Diceros bicornis minor: one gene and its partner. The protein of the gene in region 2 purifies or fractionates together with the protein of the main gene of each other region. This does not show direct contact. Links are inferred from orthologs where the notes say so. Each region holds a gene or a part of one and is shown on either strand. Other genes may lie near its edges.

Region 1 (7,698 bases), on a different chromosome or scaffold from region 2:
CAGCATTCCAGGTGGGAAAATGAGCATGTGGACTAGGTCAGCAGCAATTAAAATGGAAGGAAGGCAGAGATATGAGTGCCTGGAAAGATGGAACTGATAAGTCCTAGCTGATATGAGGAGTGAGAGAAAAAGTCAAGTCAATACTGACTCCAAAGAGCCTCCTTTAGGTGACTGGACAGATAATTATGCCATCTGTTGAGGTAGATAACACAAGTTATTTTACCGATGGCAAAATTGAGGATTGGGGAGGTTAAGTATTAGTTCCACTTCACACTGCCAATGTGTATCAGGACAGAAATGAGAACACATCTAATCCACTGCATTTCCATCATATCAGCCTGATTCTTTTCTTTCTGCTCTCTCTTAGGTAGAAGGTAAATGAAAGTAAAACATCTTTCATTTCTCGTTGTAACCTACTCACTCTCTGGTATCTCTCCATTCCTCCATGTGTGTACACTAATCTTAGCTGCACATTTGCAAACTAGTAAACTGTTGGGTTCAACAACAGAGTAATGGAGCTTAGCCAAGAACATGCAAGAGAAACCAGAGGGAAATTAACAATGTTCAAGAAGGGGAGAGCCAAAAGGAGAGAGGAAAGAAAGAGCAGCCAAATTCTTCTAGTAAATAGAAATTCTAACTATTTGAGGATTGTGACTTGGCCCTACACCTGTAAAAAAGAAAAAAAAGCAAGGATTGGAGAACACAGAAAAGTCTTCACCATTGACTACTGCCATTATACATTATATATTTTACATGCCACTGGGGCAAAGGGACCCTGAAAATGAACGGATCCTGAGAAAAGGTTCTGTTTATTCTTTTGCTAGGCAAAAGAAGCTAAAATCCAAGACCTCTATGCTTAATATAAAAATCCTAATAATACTGTGTATTTAATATACACATGTATAAACTTGTATCTGTGGGCACCCTCTTTTCTTTTTTCTGTCCTTTCTTTTTCATACTGAATTCTAGCTGGGTGACAATAAAAGGGAGGCAGTATGGCAGAGAAATTAAGAGCAGAGGCTCTAAAATGGGGGAGGGCAGAGCACAGATAGAGAAAACAGTAATTATACATTTTTTATATATATATATAATGTGTGTGTGTGTATATATATAGTATGTGTATATACATATTAGAAAATAGTAAATTCTGAGTTTTTTTGTAGGTCCAGATCCTTATCTTACGCATCGCCAGTATAGGGAGCTTTGATCAAGAGGTCATGACTCATTCAGGCTTGCTGGGAAAATATCTCGGATGTAAGGCCACTAAAACAGTATTAGGGCATAAACAAAAGCAAATACCCTATATTATCCTACAGAGAGTTAATCCTACCTTTCTCTCACTAAATCCTTCTCCAACAGATAGATCAAAACAGAACAAAGCTCAAACAAGCTATGTTTTCTAGAAGAGTTGTACCGTATCACAATTTTAAGCATCACTCAATAGTTAATGCACATGGGATGATGTCCCCTTAAGTCCATCCTTAAGGGATGGACTGTTTAAAGGGATCATATAATACATCATTTTGAAAGAATCAATGCTAAATCCTTCTAATAAAAAAATAGGTTTTCATATGTATAGTTTACTTAAAGTAAAATCCTGCTACAAATCTGTAAAGTTTTCTCTTTGGGACTAGCTGTGCAATAAGACTGTAAGACAGTCTTAAGGAGCTGTGGATTGGCAGAACTTACCTGTTTGCAAAATAGGTAACTGTGTGATTAGTGTTACTTGAAGGACACTAGGAAGATTCTCCCAAAAACAACTACCACCCTACCAAACAGCTCACCCATCAATGGTTGATGGAAGTCTCTCACCAGACTTCATTCTTCCGTTTAGGTGTTCATACATCCTACCAACACTCTAAAGGGATAAGTCCCAAATGAGTTACAGTGTGAGTTACCAAATTACTTTGTTACAGAACTGGACAGTACAAGTGAGCACCGGGCAACTTGGTAGGAAGAAAACACTGGAGAGAAGTGAGGAAGGTGAAAACTGGGGAGTGCTGTCGTTTTGTTTTGCCTATTTACCAATGCATTCATTACTACCTTTTGTTTGCCCCCAAATCCATAAGGTCTGGTTACTAGGTCTTCAAGTAATCTAGAAGAGTTCTTCAACAGAAATTTACATTCTTTCAAGATAGTGTCACAGTATCATCTATCACAGTTCCTCTTAGAGATGATACAATGCGTCAGAAAAGGAGAACTCTGGGATCTAATTCTATTTCACTAAGCTGAGTGACGTTGGGCAAGGGTCTTGGTCTCCTAAGGCCTTCGTTTCTTCATCTTAAAAATAATGTTGGGTAGCAGAATTCTCTAATGACTCTTCTAAGTATAAAAAATTGTGTATTTTCCATAAATCTTCCATCATGTTCACACTGCTAATCTCTGCAGATGATTTCAACTTTCTACTTTTCTGTTTTTTTAGTGAAATTCCTTGACTTCCTCTTTATCTCAAAATTTCTTTCCTTCAATGCCACTTTCCCCACTCCCTTGTCACTTCTGCCACTTGTATTCCGTTCTCTCACATCTCCAATTTCTCCCTCTATTGGCTCCTTCCCTTTGGCTATGAACATGCTCTTCTTGCCCAACCTAAAACTACCACCCCTTGGGCTAATCTTCCTCTTCTCCCCTTCTCAAAATTCATCCCTTCCTCCACGGACGGTCCAAGGTCTTTCGGGTCTTCTTCGCCAATACGTTTTTTTTTTTTTTGCCTTTAAAGATGAGTGCTTCCCCTGGCGTTCTCCCATACCCTGCGCCTCCCTCCCCAAATATGCTTCAATACTTCACACAAACGAACGTTTGGGAACTAATGTTTAACTATTTAGCATATTTTCCAACCCTGCCACCGATTACAATCTAGAGGCGGTTTCACTGGATGAAAAAAAGCGGCGGAACACCGGTTTTTATTATCTCGAGACCACGAGCTGACCTGGGATAACTCGCCGGCAGACACTTGAAACACCATCTACTCAGAGCCCCGCTTCCGCAGAACCTACTGCAGAACAGTCACTGCTGCTGTCTGGAAGGGGCTCCATTTGTCTCTACTCTAGTACCGCCCCCTGCCAGCACCCTCACACCCACTCCCGCAGCCAGTACCACCACCTCACAGCCATCTTCTGTCGCCACCGTGAGCATTCCCTTAATGACGTCATTGCCGCCCACGCACCTGAGTGACCATCCCTGAAGCTACGAAATGGTCCAGGAGTAGGCCGGCAGCGTTTGGCGCCGACGCCGGGTCCCAGGGGTTCCCCGCAGCCATGACTGGGACCCACCTCCCCGCGCGGTGCCGAGAGTGAGTGCAACGCAAGGCGAACGCGCCGCGCGGCTCGATGACGTCACGGGGCGTTACCGCCCGGGCGGAAGCCCGCGGAGCGCGGTTCCCGGGTCTACCGCTGTGAGCTGAAGGGTAGGCGGCGAGTCCGGGGCTCCCTGATTCTCCGTAGGCTCCTAGCGGCTTATAGTCTCAGAGCAGCTGCAAAAGCGGCAGAGCCTGGTGGTCAGGCTGTCTGTTCTTCCCTTTCTTCCTTGCCGCTCTTGGGCTGGCCTGCAAGATCCAGGATCGGCGGGAGGTGACAGCTGGGGTGTGAGACCAGGAGGCCAGCGGGGCGGCTTGGGGGGGCCTGGACCGAGCGGTGACAGCTGCGCTTCCTTCCCTCAGGGACTTGAGCCGCGGCGCTAGGATGGGAAACAGTGCCCTCCGCGCTCATGTGGAAACGGCGCAGAAAACCGGTGTCTTTCAGCTTAAGGACCGTGGGCTAACCGAGGTGAGACTGGGAGGGACCCGACCAGGGAATTTAGAGGGAGAGGGACGGCGGGGGCGGTGAAATTAATCGGTGAGGGATTCTTTGCGCTGTGAACCCCTTTCTCCAGTTCCCCTTAGAGTTGCAGAAGCTGACGAGCAATCTCAGGACCATCGACTTGTCCAACAACAAGATTGAGAGCCTACCGCCTATGATTATAGGGAAGTTCACTCTGCTGAAGAGCCTCTCCTTGAACAACAACAAACTGAGTATGGCTTTTGCGCCTGGGAAGCTGTTGCTAGTGATCAGCTGTTAAGAAGGGTGGTTTTCTCTTACAAGCTGATTTTTGTTGTTGTTAATGAAACCGTTCAGAGAGCTCTAGACGCAGGAGAATGTCAGAGTCCTTGAAGTTTTCTGTCTCTTGTAATTATATCTGCAAGCCTCCTCTGGTGGTATAATGATTGGTACTGGGTTAATTTGGACTTGAAAGGGAAGGGACCATCTTTGGGATATTATGTAAACAGAGCTAATTTTGCTGCTAATTTGGAAGGGGGTATGGAATGGGGTGGGGAGGGCCTTCCAAATCCCACAAAATTACTGTCGGATTGTGCAGAGGCCCCTTTACAAAAGGAGCCCATATACACATAAATGCTTTCCTGTGTTTTGATGGCACTTTCACCTTCTGAAGACTATGTTTGGTAAAAATACAATACTTAAAAATGCCACAACATGTGGGAATTCTATGTGTATTAACAAGAGGTATAGCAGGCTGCCATACAGTTTTTATCAACTTCATCAAAGATATTTTTCACCTGTACCAGATTCAGGTTTTAAATTTTTTTTCTTTGCTAGCTGTTCTTCCTGATGAATTATGCAATCTGAAAAAACTAGAGATGCTAAGCCTAAACAACAATCACTTGAGAGAGCTGCCATCTACCTTTGGGCAACTGTCTGCCCTCAAGACCCTGAGCCTTTCTGGGAACCAGCTGCGAGCACTACCACCCCAACTTTGTAGCCTACAGCACCTGGATATGGTAGATCTCTCCAAGAACCAGATTCGGAGCATACCTGACATAGTGGGGGAGCTGCAGGTCATCGAACTCAACCTCAATCAGAACCAGGTCTAGAGCTTAAGGGACTTTTTTTCTACAGTGTATATGTAGGTTTACGGTCTCCTGAATAACCTGTTGTTCTCTAAACTGTAATCATGGAGCTGGGTATCAGAGGCTAGATGAGAGGTATATTCTATGGACTAGACTAATTTCAAAGCCCAAAGTGCCATGGAGTTGAGACACTGGGTATGTTTGTTGTGTAGTTGTTTTTTGGAGGGTGGGATGGGTAACAGGGTGAGATAATTTCAAAAGTTAAACTACTGTCTCAAAAATCTTGAAGAGTTCTTCAGATCCTCCTCAAATATGCCTCTAATCATCTAGCAAGGAGCTATGTCAGGAAGATAGAGTGGAAAAGAGGCTTAAATTCACAAGTTCTTAGAGTTGAATATCAGAGGTAATTCAGTTGTCCTTTTTTTGATATTTTTGTCAAGTGTGTGTCCTGCTTTTGCTGAAAAACTGCCAGTGATAGGCTGTCTGGAGATAGCCCATTTCATTGTTGTACAGCTTTGTGTCTGTTTTTTTGCTGAGGAGATTAGCCCTGAGCTATTACCTGTTGCCAGTCTTCCTCAGTTTTTTTTTTTTTTTGCTTGAGGAAGATTAGCCTTCAGCTAACGTCTGTGCAAATCTTTCTCTACTTTATATGTGGGTTGCCACCACAGCATGGCTGACGAGTGGTATAGGTCAGCGCCTAGGATCCAAACCTGGGCTGCCAAAGCAGAGTACACCAAACTTAACCGCTATGCCACAGGGCCCGCCCCTGTACGCTTTTAATTGTAATATTTGAAATTTGTTTCCATTTGGAAGCTCTTTGGTTAATGTGTATCTGACTGGAGAAACAACTGTTGGTGTAGATATAAAGCACAATTGATGAAACATTAAACATAGTGAGACTAGGTAGCCTTTAGTTTTTCTAGTGTCTGTGCTTCTAGATTTGCAGTCCAATAAAGTAGCCACTAGCCACATGTGGCTATTAAAATTCATTTAAATTAGATTTCAAAATTCAGTTCCTCAGTTGCCACTAGCCATATTTCAAGTGCTCAAAAGCCATATGTGGCTAGTGGCTACTATATTGGACAGCACAGATATAGCACATTCCAATCAAACTGCAAAAAGTTTGATTGGACAAAACTGTTCTAGCTTGTAGTGACCTTACATTATAATGAAATTCAGTCTGTCTTTGAGGAGATAGATGGGCCTCTTCTTTTCCTTAATAGGATATCCTTGAGCTTTTTAGAAAAAAATTATGTGGAAAAAAATTTTGGAAAAAAAGTTAAGCAACAATTAATTGAGCTCTCACTCCACATTCACCTATGCTGATGCCTTAATCAGTGGTTCTCAGATTCTAGTGTGCATCAGAATAACTGAGAGAGCTTGCTAAAAGAGATGACCGGGCCCCTACCCTCAGTGTTTCTAATTAAGTAGGTCTGTGGTGGGTTCTAGGAGTTAGCATTTCTAACAAGTTCCCAGTTGTTGGTCTGAGATGATACAGGCAGAGTAAATATAGTTTGGTGACTTGGAACATTTAAAGGGCAAAAGAGGTGAATGAGTCAAAGATAATTGCTTGGTATTAAGCTTGAGGGCCTAAAAGAAAAGTGGTGCTATTGAGAATGGACATGCTGAATTTATTATAATGGTGAATCATCCAAATGAAAATGTTTTGCTAAAAATTGGAGACATAGGAGTGAACAGACATGAATGTAGATACAGATTTTGAGGTCTTAACATAAGTGATAGGTTTAAGAATGGATGAGCTTTCTAGGCAAAAGTACCTAGATTGGCAATAAATGTACCAAAATGTTTATGGTGGCAGATTACAGGTAACTTTTTTCTTTAAACTTGTGTGATCCTCACATTTCCTATAATAAACAGTGCTATTATTATCAGAAAATGTTGTTTCCAAAAAAGTCACTGGTGACCTTCAGAAAGCAATTTTTTTTTTTCGAAAAAGTGGAGGAGTAGTAACAGAAGCTAGATCACAGAGGCTTCTGGAACGAGTAGGTAGTGAGAAAACGGAGGCGGTAAAAGGAGAACTAGGACAAATAGTCAAGTAAAAGTTTTTTGTTTTAATTTAGTAAAAAATAACCATTATAATTCTTATGCTTTTTCCTGTTATTCTTTTTTGTTGTTCAATAGATATCTCAGATCTCAGTAAAGATATCTTGCTGTCCTCGCCTTAAAGTTCTTCGCCTGGAAGAGAACTGCCTTGAGCTCAGCATGCTTCCACAGAGCATCCTCAGTGATTCCCAGATCTGTCTGCTTGCTGTGGAAGGCAACCTTTTTGAAATAAAGAAACTTCGAGAACTAGAAGGCTATGAGAAGGTATGTATTAGTGTACTTCTGCATTTCTAGTCACTGTTCCAGAGAAGACAACAGTGAAGTAACCCACATGAATGTTGATAGCTATAGGATGTATGTATAATCCTGTTTGTCAACAAGATTTATTCCCCATTTTGGAGGTGGGTTCTAAGAATCAGCCAATAGTATTGTGCCAAGATGACTTTTTCTCTTGACAATGTATTGTAAAGCATCTTCGTCTTTTGATAGGTTTCCTATTAAAATTTAAAAGAAAAAATTAAAAAACCCCAAAACGATGTGCTTCAAACCTGCATTTAAAATAGGTAGATTTTATAGGAAATGAAGGACCATTTCCAATAAAAACCTACATTAAAAAAATATAAAAAGCTAAGTAACAAATAGGCTAACATTTGTTTATGCCAAAATACCTCATATATATTCTTCTTTGATGATTTTTAGTACATGGAGAGGTTCACGGCCACCAAGAAGAAGTTTGCATGATGTTCTCCAGGAGCAAGGGAACATTACAGGACAGACTTGCAACCTCTTGCAAT
Region 2 (7,393 bases):
CACTGTCTGTGATGGGTCTGGACTCCCTCTCTTCCTAGCCTGGGCGCCCTGTCAGGGCAGAGCCTGGGGCTGACATAGCCCAGAGGCTCAGTGTCTGAGGAATTAATAGACAAGTAACTCTCCCCAGAGCCCCGGTTCTTTGCAGGGTCTCTGGGGGCTGGGGGACACTCACAGGATGCTGCCTCCCTTGGCCTGAGGAGTCAGGAGGTTCTGCAGGAACTGGGTCCGGAGAGTGCAGGCTGTTCGGACATCACTCTGGGAAGAAGAGGATGATGGAGCGTGAGGGAGACCCAGGGGTCCACTTGACCCCAGATTCCCCACTCCTTCCCTCATGGCCCAGGGCTCTTACCAGGACCACAGGCTCTAGGCCCAGGGCTGCTGATGTCAAGGGTCCAAAGGTTATATTCATTTTGGCCTTCCTGGAGAGAGGAGTGCAGTTGGGGCTGGGGTCCCTGGGAGGAGGGAGTTGGGAGAGCTGTGTCCCCTCCTGCTGCCAGCAAAGCTAGTCACAGGGATCACCAAGCCTGGATCTCAGGGGCCACCTCCAAAATTAGGCCATTGTCATCTCCTGGCTGGACGACTGCATTAGCCTCCTCACTGCTCTCTCTGCTCTCGCCCTCTGCAGTCTTTTCTCCACTCAGTAGTCAATGATCCTGTTAGAACCTCAGACTGACCATGTCAGTGTTCTGCTCAAAACCCTCGAAAACAACGTGCTATGTTCCCATCACATTCAGAATAATAACGATGGATATTAGGAACTCTTCTAAGCACTTTGCAGGATTCACCTCAATTAACATACCCACCTCGATACTTTCCCCCACACTGGCATTCTATATAGTCTGCACCATTCTAGGCACTGGATACAGGTGGCTGAGATGACAAAATTTCCTGGCCTCACGGACTTTAAATCCTAAGGAGTGCAGCTCAGAATTCTGGAGCCCAAGAAGGGGTCAAGGCAGAGCCCCGGGGTCTCCGAGGAGAACGTCTGTCCTCCAAGCCTGGTGCCAGCTGGTCCCTGGGCACCTGAGGCCCACCTCTCTGTGTCCTGCAAGCGCCTGAGCTGATTCTGCAGCCGCTGTACGGGATCCTGGAGCCCACGCTGCTGTCTTCGCATGGCCCTGGCTTGCGCCCGGAGGAGGAGAGCACGGCGCTGGGTGTCTTGCATGCTCTGCAGGGCCTGCTCCATGGCTATGTCTGTGGGAGAAACGGGTTGGCCATCAGCATTTCCCCTACCCCCGTTCTGCTGCCCATCTGCCCAGCCCCCATGGGTCACCCTGAGCCTCGGTCTCTCGCTCTGTCAGCTCCAGGCTCTGGTCTAACTCCAGGATTTCTGCCCGCAGGCGGGCAACAGCAGCTTCCAGCTCCAGCTTCCGACGGGCCTGGTGGGATCAGACTCAGGGTCAGATGTGTGGCCTGGCTGGGGCTCAGCCTGGCCTGACTGCTCTTTGTGCAGAACCGGTCTCCTCACCTGCCCAGGTGGGTGGCAGGAGTTTTTCCTAAGCAGTTTCTGTGTCTGAACCTCTAGGCCCAGAAAGCTCTAGGGTGCTATCCTGGCCTCCTCCATCCTCCTGGGACTGCCTTCACCTACCCTCCCTTCCTGTCTCTGCGCTGATGGCACTCCGTCTCTGTCCCAGTCCTCAGCTCCCCACCGAGTCCCACATCTTGGAGTCCTGAGGTCTCCTGGAAGCATCCTCCTAGATATCACCTGGGCCCCTTGCATATACTGGGTCCCACACTGGCCTCAGTACCTCTCTAAAACCAGTCCCTCCTCCCATCTCCCCTCACCAGCTTTGATGCCTCATGTCCATGTCCCCCCAACCCCCAGCTCATGCCTGTCTCCCCCTGGACTGTAAGCCCCGTGAGTGCAGGGATCAGGGCCTGTGACACAGTGTCCCCAGCATCACCCAGCACAAGGCTGGGCCTAGAGCAGAAGGTCTACACATCCTTTTTTTGGATGAAAAAAATCGTGTAGCACATGCTTCTCACCTCTGGACTGTCCTGGTGGCCATACCTGAGGAAATGAGGCCAGAGTTAGGGGCAGACAGGGAATTCCAGAGGGAGATGGGAGGTGTGACGCTGTGGGTGGGGACATGGTTAGATGGGACCAGGGAAGAGAGGAAGGGATAGCTTTGAGGACCAGTTACCAGAGGAGGTTTCCCCGGATCTTCTTCACACTCCTACAGTGGAGAGGTAGGATGAAGAGGAGTTACTGGGGCCTTGCCTGTGTCCCCTCCCCTGCCACAGCCTCCCTCATGCAGCCAGGCTCACCTCTGGCTGTGCACATGCCGCAAGACGTAGGCCCAGATGTCGGCCCCCTGGCCCAGACACAGCCTGTGGGGACAGCGTGTAAGGGTGTGTACATCACACAGCGGGGAGGATCATCATTCCCAGGGTGGTGGTGGTGAGGAAGTCTTTACTAGGGAATTCTCACTTCTGGGGGGAGGGAGGGCCCATACTTTTTGGGGTAGGATATTCCTTTCTGGGGACTTCTCAGTCCGAGAGGGTGGGTTTCTCACTGGGTGTGGGGGTATTCTCATTCCCTGGTGGGGTGCTCCCTTTCTCCTGGGAGAGGGTTATCTCCAGTTACTTCCAGAGGTGGGGGTGGGAGTGTACTGCCAGGAAGTGCTCTCTTGTTACCAGATGCGGGTTACCACTGCTATGGATTCAGGCTCCAATGGGATGGTCTTGGCTGGGCTGGAGTGGGGGGTCGGTGGTGAGGTGCTGCAGGGACAGCCTTACCCTGGAGATCCTATTTCCACACGAGAAGGGGGCTCCATTAACTCATGGAGGATCCTCCCTGGTGCCAGGGACCTCACTCTGGGCGGCCTCGCAGGTGGGGGTGGCAGTGTGGAGGTCACCGCCAGGGCGTCCTAACTCAAACCCGGGATCCTCTTCCTGGATGTACTACTCCGGGGTGGGGGGCGCCCTCTGGGGTTATTCTCACCGCGGCGCAGTGGGAGGGGGATGGGCCCGTCTCCAGTGAAGATGGGGTTCTCTCTCCCGGAGACTCTACCTCCAGGGCGGGCAGTCCTCGCTTCCAGGACCCTCACCTGCGCAGCGTCGCCTCCGAGGCCCGGGCCCCCACGGGCGCCTCCATCTCTTCGGCCGCCCAGCAACCCAATTCCCGCGCTTCCTGCGCTAACTCCATGACAGCGCCGCGGCCGCCGCCTCCCGCGCCCTCTTCAAGCGTGGCGCCTGCCTATGACGCCACGAGGGCGCCGACAGTGACGTCGTCGGTTGCCAGGCAGACGGGCGCCTCTTGGTTTGCCGGGTCTCGGAGCTGTCCTGCTGTCTCGCTCCTCCAGGGTGGATCCCATTGAGCGAAGATGAAAGGGGAGTGGAGAAACGGTGGGCCCCGCTTGCTTTCCGCGTCCTCACACTCACACCAGCTGTTCCCTCAGAGGCAAAAGGTCCCCAATGCCTCCCTTGATTTTCTTGACAAAATGGGACTTCCATCCTAGGAGGATGAGAACCAGGCGAGGAGATGCCAACCTTACTGCTCTTTGATTTCAGAAACAGCGTCTCTCAGATCTGAGTGAGGGATAGAGGGCAGATAGCATGACCCTAATATCTCCCTGGCGTGCTTTCTTGTCCATACCATACCATAACCTTCAAGAGCCAACCCTGTGCTGGGGACACCACGGGGGGCTGAGACAGCCCCAGTCTCCATGCTACGGTGCTCACGGTTCAGTGGGGGACACGGACGCATCACCAGGTAGGAATGGTAGAAAATAAGCAGGAGGGGTGGGTCAATTTGGGACACAGGGAGTGTGAGAGGTCTGTGGGGTGCCCCAGAAAGCACTGGATGCTGGGGCTGGAGTTCCGGAGAGCCCACTCGGCCTCAGACAGGGCCCTGAGAAATGGCAACATTCAGTGACTTTTCATGCAACATGCTTGCCTAGGTCACCAGTCTGTCCTCAGTGTCCACTACAGAGCCAGACTCTCTAAATAGTTGTTGAATAAACAAATGGGAGGAAAGGTGGTGGGGTGAGACTAAAGTTAGGAACCCAGGGAGGAGGGTGGAACGGGATAAGGAGTGGGGGTGAGGGCAGTGCTTATGGCTGTGGAGCAGAGAGGGGGAGACTGAGTGGATGGGTCATGAGGTCTATTGGCTGTACTTGGCTGTACGGGGTGGGTGGGGCATCCAGGGTGAGGTCCAGGGCTCTGGGCTGGGGATTAGGTGGAGCAGACTTTGAAATGGGGACATGAGAGAAGGGGCAGCTTTGGGGGAGATGCTGATAACAATGTGGGACTCGATGGGTATGAGGAGCCAAGGGGATATCCAAGGGGATCATGGGATCACCACTGAGATAGCAGATTTGGGGGAGAAGCTGAGTGCAGTTTCAAATGCTTCATACAAACTGAGAAGCAGGGCCGGCCCCCTGGCTTAGTGGTTAAGTGCACGCGCTCCGCTCCTGGCTGCCGGGTTCCGATCCCAGGCGCGCACCGACGCACCGCTTCTCGGGCCATGCTGAGGCCGCGTCCCACATGCAGCAACTAGAAGGATGTGCAGCTATGACATACGACTATTTACTGCGGCTTTGGGGAAATAAATAAATAAAATTAAAAAAAAAAACAAAAAAACCCCAAAAAAATGAGAAGCAGAAGAGGGTGCCAGGTTGTAATCCAGTTGGGCTTCCCGGAAGAAAGGTTAGCAGCTGCTACTTCACGATGCTTGATTTCTCAACAGCTGATGTTTCTTTCAAACATCTCCACTCTTCCACTGTTTGTGGGGTGTTTTGCTATTAAAAAAAATCAATTAGACAGTATGTGTGCCATGGGTCTATGAGCTTTTCAAGGGGCTTTAAAAAGTATTGGCTGTTAAGAGAATGAAAACACAAGTCACAGGCTGGGGGAAAATATTTGCAAAACATATATGATGAGGGACTTGTATCCCAAATATACAAAGAACTCTTAAAAGTCAACCAGAAGAAAACAAATAATCCCGTTAAAAAAAGGACAAAACTTATGAACAGATGTCTCACCAAAGAAGATGTACAGATGGCAAATAGGCATATGAAAAGTTGCTCAACATCATATGTCATCAGGGAATTGCAAATTAAAACAACCATGGGATACCTCTACACACCTATTAGAATGTCTAAAATCCAAAACAATGACACCACCAAATACTGTTGAGGATGTGGAGCAACAGGAACTCTCGTTCATTGCTGGTGGGAATGCAAAATTATACAGCCACTTTGGAAGACAATCGGAAAGGTGATATACTGTATGATTCCACTATATGGCATTCTGGAAAAGGCAAAACTATGGAGAACAGTAAAAAGATGAGTGGTTGCTGGGGGATCATGGGATGGGGGTTAGGGATGAAAAGATGAAGCACAGGGCATTTTTAGGAGGAGTGAAACTATTTTGTATGATATTGTCATGGTGGATACATCACCTTATGCGTTTGTAAAAAAAACCGTCGAGGGGTACAACACAGAGTGAGCCCTAATGTAACTTATGGATTCTAGTTAGTAACAATGTTTCAATGTCATCAATTGTAACAAATGTCCCATACTCCTGCAAGATGGTAATAATAGGGGAAAACGTGTGTGGAGGGAGAAAAGGTATGTGAGAACTTTCTTTACTTTTTGTGCAATTTTCTGTAAGCATAAAACTGCCCACAAAAAATAAAGTCTATTAAAAAAAGTATTGCCTGAAAGCTGCAATATTTAATGAAAGATCTATAACCTTAGTGATGACTAATCAGATGCAACTTGACTCAAGCTGTATAATTACATACAAAAATAAGAGAATTCTGTATGCTTTGGAAGAAAAGTTAAGCCCAAATAAGACATAACTACCGGTGGTTTGCCCCCTAACTCTAAAAAAAGCCACTCGGGGGTTATTAGACACATCCTCTCAAGATGCCTAAGAGAGAGCAGAGCTGGTCATGTGACCATCTTCCTAGCAGCCGCTAACCGTCTTCTCACCACTCTCCTCCAGTCTCTCTGAGGTGACTTTGTAATGTGTCAGCTTGACTAGGCTGAATGAACTATATCCTAGAATTTCCTTCGCTGTATATTCAGTCAGGATGGGACAAAAGAGATTCTTGGGCAAGATTGGGAGGGCAGAAGTGAAGCAGCTGCCATTTGGTAGATCACGCAGGTTGTTGCTGGCTGGCGCTGACTCACTGTGTTTGCATAGGGCAGCAACCAGGCCAGCGCTCGTGCCACCTTCTCCTGGATCTTCCTTCAGCTTCTCTAACTCCTGGGCCAGGTGTGTGTTTAGCTCCATGATGAAGAGTGCCAGCTTCCGTGGACACTCGTACCACCAAGGTCAGAGGCAAACTCGTTCCAGCTTGTCCTAGCTTTCCCCCGCTCTACGCCTGTCTCCCCTTCCTAACTGCCTGCTCTGTGCACTTTGAGTGCCAGCATCAGACACTAAGACAACAACCTTAGGGACCGCTTAACAACTCTACAAATTGCATGAGGTCAAATCCCTATTATCTCTCTCATCTATCTGTCTATCTATCTCATCTATCAACTATCTATCTATCTATCTATCTATCTATCTATCTATCTATTATATCTCCACTAGTGGTTCACCCTCTCTGAACCTGGATACCCTCTGTAAGCAGAAACTCTTGACGTCTGAGAAATCACTGTGACATCAAGCTGTTGTTCATGGAAGAAGCTGCAGTAGCTTTCCCTCCCCCTCTCCCCCATGAGAGGAGGGGTGTCTTCTTCTCCACCCCCCAAAAGGCTGATGCAAAAAGGTGATATTGGCACATTACTCACAGGAGAAGAAACATGTCATGTTTGTACTTGCACTGTGTTCAGTCTGTTCAACATACTTGGGGCAAAATGATTTTCGTTACTGAGATGGACACCCTGTGTTCCTCTCCTAATCCCTGTTTGATAAACCTCAAGCTTCCACATTAATGCCTGTAATTTGCCGCTAGCAAGGTTTTCAGGGACCAATATCCACAGCATCCCTCAGGGGCTTGTTAGCAATGGAGAATCCCTTGCTCCTCAACCCCGGACTTACAAAACCTGCATTTTGACAAAATCTGTCAGTGATTTGGGTGCACATTGAAGTTTAAGAAGTACAGTCTATAGGACACTACTTTTGGGGGATGGAACCTTCTTTATTACCATCAATACCCAGAGATGGATCCTTATCCTTTGCTTCTTGGATATACACTTTCAAAATTTGTGATCAATATCTGGCACATCTCAGACCATCCTGTCTCTAATTTCCTCATAAAAATTGGCATTTTTATGACCATGTGAACTGAAGCATCAGCTGGGCCAACTGAGAAAGCAGAAGGTGAGGTCTGGCAGGTGAAGAGCTGGAGAGACTTGTCAGAAGTTACTAAGGACTCCTACACACCCGAAACAGCAACTGCATCATCAAGCGTACCCGCACATAATGAGTAAAAGTG

Evidence for each region. Proteins that work in one complex are often made in the same cells at the same time.
Region 1: the proteins of HAUS5 (region 2) and HAUS2 purify together in Homo sapiens (affinity purification with mass spectrometry; 5 studies listed by BioGRID and IntAct, with this or other methods). This does not show direct contact. The link is inferred for Diceros bicornis minor from reciprocal best matches to the Homo sapiens genes HAUS5 and HAUS2.

The regions. Positions count from the first base shown.
Region 1 is NC_080744.1:40,120,463-40,128,160, reverse strand, and holds the start of HAUS2 (HAUS augmin-like complex subunit 2), read right to left. Parts: upstream 3,288-7,698; 5' UTR 3,257-3,287; coding exon 3,164-3,256; intron 1-3,163. Other genes in the region: LRRC57 (leucine-rich repeat-containing protein 57), read left to right, coding at 3,678-3,761, 3,868-4,006, 4,590-4,858, 6,983-7,168, 7,604-7,645.
Region 2 is NC_080773.1:8,947,164-8,954,556, forward strand, and holds the start of HAUS5 (HAUS augmin-like complex subunit 5), read right to left. Parts: upstream 3,181-7,393; 5' UTR 3,149-3,180; coding exon 3,051-3,148; intron 2,332-3,050; coding exon 2,269-2,331; intron 2,178-2,268; coding exon 2,145-2,177; intron 2,012-2,144; coding exon 1,987-2,011; intron 1,380-1,986; coding exon 1,274-1,379; intron 1,195-1,273; coding exon 1,035-1,194; intron 453-1,034; coding exon 350-452; intron 256-349; coding exon 173-255; intron 1-172.